Linked DNA regions of Neodiprion lecontei. The main gene of each other region encodes a partner of the protein of the gene in region 2 in a complex. Links are inferred from orthologs where the notes say so. Each region holds a gene or a part of one and is shown on either strand. Other genes may lie near its edges.

Evidence for each region.
Region 1: the proteins of origin recognition complex subunit 5 (region 2) and origin recognition complex subunit 4 are in contact, whole or in part, in a crystal structure (PDB 4XGC), measured with the Drosophila melanogaster proteins. The link is inferred for Neodiprion lecontei from reciprocal best matches to the Drosophila melanogaster genes Orc5 and Orc4. Residues at the interface, in NP_477132.1 of Drosophila melanogaster: Met1, Glu2, Glu20, Glu24, Leu25, Asp28, Ser30, Glu31, Thr32, Tyr33, Pro34, Ser35, Phe40, Gly41, His42, Asn100, Met101, Leu102, Val105, Glu106, Arg109, Arg115, Arg132, Asn137, Val141, Arg144, Gln146, Leu148, Asn150, Leu151; in NP_477320.1 of Drosophila melanogaster: Val9, Arg12, Arg13, Lys16, Glu17, Gln20, Arg21, Tyr23, Arg58, Asp89, Asn91, Leu92, His93, Val98, Ser102, Glu147, Tyr250, Arg253, Asn254, Asp257, Glu260, Tyr261, Ala299, Tyr300, Asn303, Phe306, Arg307, Ala310, His311, Arg313.

The regions. Positions count from the first base shown.
Region 1 is NC_060263.1:16,666,715-16,671,765, reverse strand, and holds origin recognition complex subunit 4, read right to left. Parts: upstream 3,129-5,051; 5' UTR 2,966-3,128; intron 2,750-2,965; 5' UTR 2,713-2,749; coding exon 2,497-2,712; intron 2,389-2,496; coding exon 2,062-2,388; intron 1,996-2,061; coding exon 1,498-1,995; intron 1,426-1,497; coding exon 1,273-1,425; intron 1,214-1,272; coding exon 1,049-1,213; 3' UTR 512-1,048; downstream 1-511. Other genes in the region: putative ammonium transporter 3, read left to right, coding at 35-122, 193-377.
Region 2 is NC_060262.1:27,787,689-27,792,524, reverse strand, and holds origin recognition complex subunit 5, read right to left. Parts: upstream 2,820-4,836; 5' UTR 2,818-2,819; coding exon of another isoform or gene 2,713-2,817; intron 2,272-2,712; 5' UTR 2,110-2,271; coding exon 796-2,109; 3' UTR 715-795; downstream 1-714. Other genes in the region: protein SDA1 homolog, read right to left, coding at 1-304, 375-473, 2,713-2,817, 2,902-2,988. UniProt on the Drosophila melanogaster protein: Component of the origin recognition complex (ORC) that binds origins of replication. DNA-binding is ATP-dependent, however specific DNA sequences that define origins of replication have not been identified so far.

The DNA.
Region 1 (5,051 bases), on a different chromosome or scaffold from region 2:
AATTTTAACGCATACGTTTCAATTTAATTTTCAGGTGGGAGTGAGCAGAGCGGTTTCCGCGCTTCGTCCATTCCCGGATCAAATTCGACTGGAGAATGTTTTGAAAATAGGATTCAACCCAGGTTTGATATTTTTTATCGTGTTGCATTTAAGAGGGGGAATTGATAAAAATTTATCAACTCGATTCCACAGGGCACGAATCGTACTTGGAGAGATACAACCGCAGCCAGAGAGCCCAAAAGCTGAAGAAATTAATGGCGCGCAGTCCGGGAAAAGTGACTGGTTTGAAAAACAACCGAATACAATCCGGGGTGAAGGATCTTTTAAAAAAATCATTGAAGGGCAAAGAGACTCCAAAGTTGTCGTGGATTGAGTAAAAACGAGGTGTGATGGATGAAACAAGTAAACACGTAAAAACAAGATAAGATTTTCACTTTACATCGTTTTTCAATGTATAAATTTATATTATAGAAACTTTTGTATAAATAGAAATACAAACACGTCTTATTACTGAGTAAATATACAATCCACACGTTTTTTTATTTTTTTTTTTTCTCTTACTCTTTGTTCTGCCTTCTCTAGTTTCCTTTTTCATTTTGTTTTCTCGTGTTTTCCGAAATGCAAATAAATAGTGTAAATAAATAAATTAAAGCTTTGAACTTGAAAAATACATGTACGTAAGAGATAAATAATACAATGAGATAATCAAGAGACGAGATCTGTTAATCGCGTAATTCATTTTTTCGCCTAGACTTTACAGTAGTACTAATAATAATAAAATATTGGCTACACAATTAGTCTACAATTTCAAGGTATAACCAACATAATTAAATATAAGTATAGAACTAGAAACTCTACGCATGTTTCATATTTATCTATCGAATACAATAATAAGGGTTGCACGTAAAACCCTATGAATACTGGTAACGGGAACGTCGTTCAATACGAAGGGAAAAAAATGTAAAATAAAACGAAACAACAATCCTATTGTCAAAGAACTGTTCAAGTTTAACACATTTCATTAAAGTTAGTTAAATGCACGGATTTTCTATTGTAAACTGCTGACCGCCCATTGGGAAACTTCAGTCGGAAGCTCGGGATAGTTTTTAACGGCATCGGCTATCTGCTGCCAACCGAGTGAAAACTTATAGAGCTGATGCTCCTTCTCAACTCGTGTGTTCGGCCCTCCAACAGGCTGAATCAGCTCCAAATTCTGTAATTTCAATCATCCGTTATCTATAATGGGAGTATAAATGGCACATTGATGCTCACCTTGATGTGCTCGAAAGCCTTCATGATCACAGGTCGCTGGACGGTTTGAATAGACGAATTCTGATTAGCGAACTTGACGTATCTGTTTAAAACCATTTCGAAATTCAGCGGCTCGTCGTCGTATATTTCAGTCTGATGTTTCATGGCGATAATCTGCAAAAAGAGGTGGATAAAATCGGAAATTCAACAGACTCGCGTCCCTTCGTTCGAAGGTGAAATTCTCACCAGGCACAATTCTAGAACAGACAACCCTTGAAGGGTGAGAACCTTGTCGTCCTGATGGAAGAACTTATTAGCCTCAACGAAATCATTCACTTCTAATTTCGGATGTTTTTCGGACAGCGACGATATAACGAGGGCCAAAAAGTTTCTGAAACTCCTCTCGCTGACATCCAGCTGGTACATTCTCTTCAAAAAATTGACCATAGTCATGTTTTCGGTCAGACTTTTTATGTACTCGTTCCATCTGGCGCCGAACTGCGGATTTATTTTACAATCCTCGTACTGCTGATCGGTTTCGTTTACATTTTCGTCATCAGGCAGACTGAGGAGGTGCTGGAACAACTTGAGACGATCGTCAAAAGCTGAGGTGGGTTGATCTGAGCCAGATGTGTCGCCCGGAAAAAGGAATATCTGTCTATGTGAGAACCTGGACTTGACACGCTTCTCCAAAAGTTCGATAACATCAAGCCTGCAGGTGATTCCAAGCACGCATATCGGGGCCTGGACAAAATTGAGGACAACGAGGGATATATATAACTATTGTTTTATTTCTTGCGTGATGCTCACCTGTGCAGATTGCGCAACGTCGAACAAATTGTAGAGCAGAGTCTGGTTTCGGTGGGCGCAAAACAGGTCGAACTCGTCCAGAATAAAAATTACCGGCTTGGACTGAGTCTTGTCCCCAGACTTGAGACATTCAAGAAGGAAGCTCAAGTTCTCTGCGAACGTGCCAAATACTTTGTCACCGACTGCGTTTTCCAGCTGCATCTGACGTGTGGTGTCTTTGAGCGCAAGACGATCATCCGTATGAACTAAACCATGCAAGTTCACGACAAGTGCTTCATCTTTGAATGATTTTAACGACGACAGCTCTTTCAGTACGCTGTTGATGAGCTAAATTCAATGAAAGATACGTTTTGTAAAGATTTACAGGCTACTTTGCGTTACTCTTGTGTCTTTTAGTCTCCGATATTTGCATACATGTTTTTGGCCACATCTTACCGTGGTTTTTCCACATCCTCTGGGACCGATCAGTAAGGCCGAATTGCTCTCGCCGTTTTCAACGGTCCTTTTCAACAAATCCAGAATATGTACTCGCTCCTTGACGTGATGCCTGAACTTTGTTTCTGGACACATGATTTTTCGCTTCAGATACTTTCTGGTCAGTAGTATCATATTGTCGTGGAAATCTATAGCCATGTTCTGCTTTTTGCTCATAATTATTCTTGTTTGTTTCTGAGTTTGATTTCTTTCACTATCGAAAGATAATGATTACAACATTTTTAGCCCGTTATTCGTGCGATTAGTTTTATAACATTCATTTATCCGTACGGACGATTAAATAAACGTTTAGGTTATGACGGTTGCGTGCGGTGCGATAATCGTTGGTGAAAAAATGATGAATAAAAATCGCAATCCGATTACCAAGAAATAGTGTCGACTAAAATAAGACAGAATTTTGTATACTTACGGTGAAAAAATTCACAGTTCAGGGAGAATTTTATTTCAACTTATTGGATTTAAAAAACGAGAACTTCACCGCACTCGGCAGGCTGACACGGTTAAATGTTTACAATTCACAGATCCAAACACAAACACTTTCGCCCAGTTTACTGCCCGAGCTGTGATCACGACCCTTGAAAGATCCGTAACCATTTCGGGAAAATTGAGTAACGTCCGTCGGTAACGTTGATCGCATTGCTTGTTTTATTCAAACAGCGCATCAGACGCTGCGCCCTGACGGATTCGCAATTTGAAAAAAAACTTTCTAAATCAATGTTTGTTATTGATATTTAGTAAGCCATCGATTTTCTCGGAAACCAAGCCACAGTGCATAAATTCCCGTTATCCTAGTGACAAAACTTGGGGCAAATACCTCTACAACATACCTGCAATCCATTGAAACCATGTCCGAGGGTCCCCTTTCAGATGCACAAAGTGTGTTCATTCCATGTATCTCCTCTAGGCATTCCATCTTTCAGCTCGTGAGCTCGGCACCTAGCCCCGAAATCTTCCGCAAATAGTCTGCATCCAATTCTGATGAGACACTTTTCCTATACGGTAAATTGTCAATTTGTATGCAAGAATGATATTCCGGGTTGATGATGATTCGAGTATGCATAATCTAACGACCACTTTTTATTCGACAGCACCGCGAGCCACGCGTTGTAACAATGAAAATCGAACCGGTGAATTTCGCTGTCTCGATACTTGTAAATTTAGATGCCATGCTGTAAAAATTCTCTGGCGTACCCTATTACGAGTAAAAATCTACATCCCCGCGTTCATTTGACACGTTTTTTTTGTTTTTTTTTTATTTAAGCATTTGAAACCCTTGTAAGGGTTTATATCTGCATACAAAAGTTTAGTTTACAATAGTCTTATAATGGTTGATGTAGTTATTATACTTATTTGTATTGAGTTTTGACAATTTATACTTTGAGGTTACATGTATTCAGAAAGCATTGAATATAGATGCAGGCGCTTAAGTTAGGTTTACAAATTATTAATTCAATATTCAGTGGGGGGCGTAAGTTAGAGTTAGATAGATTGCTGAAAAACTCTATTCTTTGTTGGTCAAATAATACGCATTGCCACAGTACGTGTTTAATATTTTGTTCAAATTCACCGCAGTCGCAATTTGGGCTGTCTGTAACATTTATGCGAAAAAGGAAGGCGCGTAGGTGGTAGTGGTTCGCTCTGCAACGGTTTATCGTGACTATACATTCTCTTGAGAGGTCTTTGTTGTGGAACCAGGGCTTGCAGTTTTCACGGAAATAGTGTGTAAAGTATTTTATGCCTTTAGTTTGGCCTTGTTTTTTTATGACGATATTTGTTTGTATATGTATTTTGATTCGGACGAGCGGCCATTTTGATAACAGCCATTTTGATTTTTTCCTAGCCGGATGAGCAGCCATTTTGATTTTTGCTTAGCCGGATGAGCAGCCATTTTGATTTTTTATCGTCGGACAGTTTGATAATGTGATTTTCGCTATGACGTTCGCTATCGAGCGCCCATTTTGATGGCGGCCATTTTGATTTTTTCACCATCACCCGTAAACTTTCACGCTAATAGTTTGTCCCCAGGGCGAAAAATAATATTTTCCACGTACTTCGAATACATTCTTTTGTGTTAATCGACCGGATGGTAACATCGCAATTAGATAGACAGGGAATGTTGATGACGATCAGTAAACTTTCAGGCTAATAGTTTACCCCCAGGGCGAAAATTTTACATTCGACATACCATTTTGATTTTCCGCCGCTACCCGTAAACTTTCACGCTAACAGTTTGCCCCCAAGGCGAAAAATAATATTTTCCACGTACTTCGAATACATTCTTTTGTGCTAATCGACCGGATGGCGACACCGCAATCAGATATGCTGGGGATGTTCACCACAATTAGATAGGCTGGGAGTGTTGATGACGATTCGTAAACTTTCACGCTAATAGTTTTACTCCCCAGAGCGAAAAATAATATTTTCGACATACTTCGAATACATTCCTTTGTGCTAATCGAGCGGATGGCGAGTGGGGATACCAAGCTTGAACCTTT
Region 2 (4,836 bases):
TTACAGTTTTAGCATCATTCCAGACATTTTTTTTATACAGTTCAATCATTATATCTATAGACATTTTTGCAGCTCGTGCATTGCTGTCTTTCAACATGGTGAACATGAAATTTTGCAACGTAGTATTAATTTTTGCATTCTTGTGCTTGGAATTAACATTCTTGATATCTGTTATAATGTGGTTTTCGAGGAATTGTCTTAAAGCTTTATCCTGACATCTCAGTAGCTGAAAAAACAAGCTCAAGAGTGCAGTTGGCTCCAGAAGTCCTTTATTTCGAAGTAATATTAGTGCCCTGCAGAACGTCTGTAAAATGAAATGCGTTAATTTGCAATCTTCCACACCTGTACACCAAACATCAATACTCTTTGGTCACCATTCTCATTCCAGTGTCCAGAACAGTGTTTTGTGTTTGCAGAATATCCACAAGCTCTTGAGGAAAAGTTGTCAACTCTTCTGAATAGCAATGAGCTACCTACAATGATAGAAACAAGGCAAACATAATACGACGAATTCTGAATGAATGAGTTTTGAGTAATGAACTGAAGTTACATACTTTGGATACTCTAGCTTGAACGGTCAGATCATTAACTAAGTGTTCCAAGGATTTTGTCTTTATCTTATTTCACATTTATTTATAGCAAAAAAAAAATACAAAAGATACTACTACAGTAATACAACTAAAGAAATAATTGAATGGAAATAAATATTCTTAACAGCAATATTATGTTCCCACTAACCATAGAAAATAGTTAAAAGAAACATGAAAACTGGCAAGTCCACATTAAATACATACATTAAATGAAATCATACAAATAATTCCTAACATTGAACCCAACTGTCTTAGAAATGATAACGATGAAATCATAGCTGACGCAACACTTATATTTGGGACCATCTAAATTATTATCACCTACTATGCTCAATAGTCTTAACTGACACATGGTGGGTATTTGTGCCAATAGATTGGCAGTCAATCCTACTTTTTCGTCAAGAATCGCGTAGAATATCGCGAGCATTCTGTCCAAAGTAAATGCCTTTGGCCCTAACTGTGTGTTAAGTTTGGCAGGTTTTTTAGTCACAGTGTTTCGCCTTTTCTTTTTACTACTACGTTTGACAAATAAGCGTTTGTCATCTTTGGCTGGATTATAAGAAGCCAAGTAAGCAGCTATGAGCATGTACTTTGCATAGAACGGCAGTTCAAAGCTCAAAGCCAATTTCGTTGTAGATTCAATCTCTTGACACAATTTAGTACGTTGCTCAGAATCATCAGTAGACACTCTGAGATAAACAACTTCTAAATTTGATTTTAAAATTCCAGATATATTCCGCCACAAAGAGCGTACATCATTCTTATCAATTTTACCCGATTCAACAGGTTCAACATATTTATCAAAATTTATTTTAGCCATGTACCGTAGCTCATTACAATCTCTACAACATCTAAGAAACACAGATAAAAATAAATTTAAGTAATTCACGTAAAATCCATCCTCGTAATCCTTAGGCTTGTATAAAAATAATACTTTCAACATGTCCTCCCGTGTGTACTGTGGAAAGTGAATTTTAATAGGATTCAATAAACCATTTTTTGAGTAATACTTTTCCCAAACAATGTCACTGACAAAGATTGTGCAAAGATCCAAACCAGTCAGTTCTCGCAGCCTCACAAGTGCAGGCAATAAATTCACATCCATATCGCGCAGCCGATCACATTTGTCAAACACAATAACTATACGACGCTTATCGTTTTGTACTGCAATTTGTAGGTAAGTAATAAAGTCCATCATGTTATCGCATTTCTGGTAAACTGTGAAATTATTTTTCGAATTCATTTCATGCATAGACAAGTCATTTAAAATGTGTTCATAGATGAGTTTACTGCTGTAACATTCAACGCAGTTGATGATGCAAACATTATATTTAAGGTAAGCCAACAGAGATTCAATAACCAGAGACTTGCCACTTGCTGTATGGCCATATACAAAAATGCTTTGCACCATTTCCTCATCTGAAAAACCAATTAGAGAAAACAAGCATTTTATAAGATTGTCTCTGCATATTATTTTCTGTCCGAGAGATTTCAGGCATTTTTCCATAGTTTTCTTCATTGTTAATATTAATAGTCCAAGCACACTTATTAAACAATTGAAAGAGTACAAATTATACTCTCCAACTATCTATTAAAGCTTTCGGCAACAGTCTTTATGCTTTATCAACTCAAAATACAACACTGCTGATCCCAATGCAACTTGACAAAACGCTGCTCAGACCTGAAAGAAAATAACAATAGATTCTGTTTATTATCTTTCGTGGTGTTGAGAATAATTATGCCAATTGAAAAAATGATATCCTTCTGATTGAAATTAAACGTGTTCTGTCAAGTTACATCGAAAAATCAGACCGCTGCTTAAGAGAAATAAAGTGCAGACTCTGGCTGTTTACAATGTAGCCAATTCGAAACAACATCGTTCTGTTGTACCTAACACCACCTATCGCAAATGAAAATTGCACTAGTCTAGGGCAATAATGTCTTTTTGTGTAATAAGAAGTGGTTCTGCATAATTGCTGTTAATAAAGCTTTGCTTATGAGAATAGTTACTATTTATTATAAATTTATAAGCATTAAAGTGTAAAGCTAAGTTCTAGTTTAAGTAGTAAAAATGCGAACAGGACGGACTTACAGTAGAGATTGCTATAAACATCAGCCTTACCTGTGCAAGAAAAATCACCAATTCATCGAGACTTTTGTTGAATGTATCAGGCGTCAGTCGGAAGACTTCCAAAGTTGATTTGTAATGACGGTGTTGTTGCAAGAACTAGATTATCAAGCATTCATTGTTATCTCAGACCATTATGCATAATATATTTATTTCAATGCAAAATATTATATACCAGCTTACCTCGTCTTTGTATGACTCCGGATCACGCTTGATTAAATTTTGCAGTTGAGGAAGATTGTCCGGTAGTTGATTGTTGTGTCGTACCATTTTTTATTGCGGAAAAATTAACGAAATACTGAAAATTATTATTTGGAGGTTATAATCATATTTTTAACCAAACAGAATATTCAGAGTTGAGTCGATGATTCACCCAAATGTGTACACTGTTTCCACATATTCATGGAAAGTCGTTCATTTCTGAGTACTTACAAGTTTATTATTTATTTGCAACCATCCAAACGATATCTAGACGTTTTGAAATAGCACGTGCACGTTTGATGCGTCGTTGTGCTAACCAGCGCTGAACATAACCTACAAATTGTCTGTGACGCTGATTGCAAAACCGAACGACGTTCCCGCCATAGGCATCCAAAGATGAAAGATGACGGGGTCCCGCATCAAACCATCATCAAACACACAGACGTTAACTGAAGAACATAAAGACGGATACCCCTGTGTAAATTTTTGTGACCAATTTTCGGCGGGCAAGTGGCCGCAGGTGGGCCTGGGAGCGTAGGAGGGTCTCTCTATCGACTCTACCTAACGGGCTCGCACCGACATTCGTAGCAGCCAAAGTAGTGTCCGTATGGAAGCTTGAGATTGAGTCGGTACAGAGTGAGTACCTGATGTCCACTTAGAAATGTCGATCAACTCAATTATCCCCGCGAAAAGACGCGTAACCGCGTCCACCGCCAACCACCCCCAACTACTTCCTAACACCTCCAACCACCCCCTACCAACTCCTACCACCTCCTTCCACCTTCGACCACCTTCCCCAGGGGTCCGTTCTTGGGCCTCTGCTATTCTCATTATTCATCAATGATATCGGCGCTAAGCTTGCTCATTCGAAGCGAATTATTTTTGCTGATGATACTAAAATTTATCTAACCTGCCACCCATCTGATTTAGGAGAAGGTTAAGCCATGATCGCACACGATGTTGGCGTCATAGCCGATTATGCGGCTGAAAACTGCCTCAAGCACAATCTTAATAAGTCCAAGGTTTTTGTTACGGGGAGTGGCACGCATCTGAATCGTATCGATCTGGAGGATCTGCCCCCTATCTCGGTTAATGGTACAGTGCTTCCTTATGTTCACGAGGTTCGAGGTTATGCAAATTTCCAAAAAAGTTAATTTCTCCCTGTATCGTGGCTCAAACATCATCGAAATGCGCTATCGCGCAAACTTAGGGCTAAACTTATTACTGCACTAATCTTTCCCTTATTCGATTATTGCTACTTGGTACATAATGATCTGACTGGTGAGCTTAACCCTTATCTCTAGTGATTGCTTAATAATACAATTAGATTTATTTTTACCCTGCGGCGTGATGAGCGTGTCACACAGTTTCGAAAGCAAGTGGGTTGGCTTATAGTCAGAGTTAGGCGTCTTTACTTCTTAGGTATGTTTCTACTTATGTTAGGTATGTTAGGTATATTGGAAAAAATTCTGGTATTTGCTTCACAGTATACAGAATAAACACTGTCTTTGTGCATGTGGCGCAAACCGAATCTGCCCGTAAGATTTTGTCTATATAATGCTACAAATCACGTTTACACATGCACGTAAGTATAACGTATTGTGATTTTAAGACAATAAATTTCGTCTAAAAATATCACAGAACAATCAGCTAAGTGCTAACTGATTTGACACACCACACACAGCAATTTTAGCTCTAATTGTACGACGTTATTGTCACGTATTCCTATGTATACAATGCCAACCACTCACCAATTGCAATTTGTTGATCCTGGTCGTTCGGTTTTTTTTTCCGATTCACAATGTTATCTGAAGCATGCATATTGGTTTGATAGGACAAAACATGATGTTTCAATAATCAAATTTGTAAACTTGAAAATTAGTCCGGAAAGTTAAACGTCATCAGGTCAAGGACCTC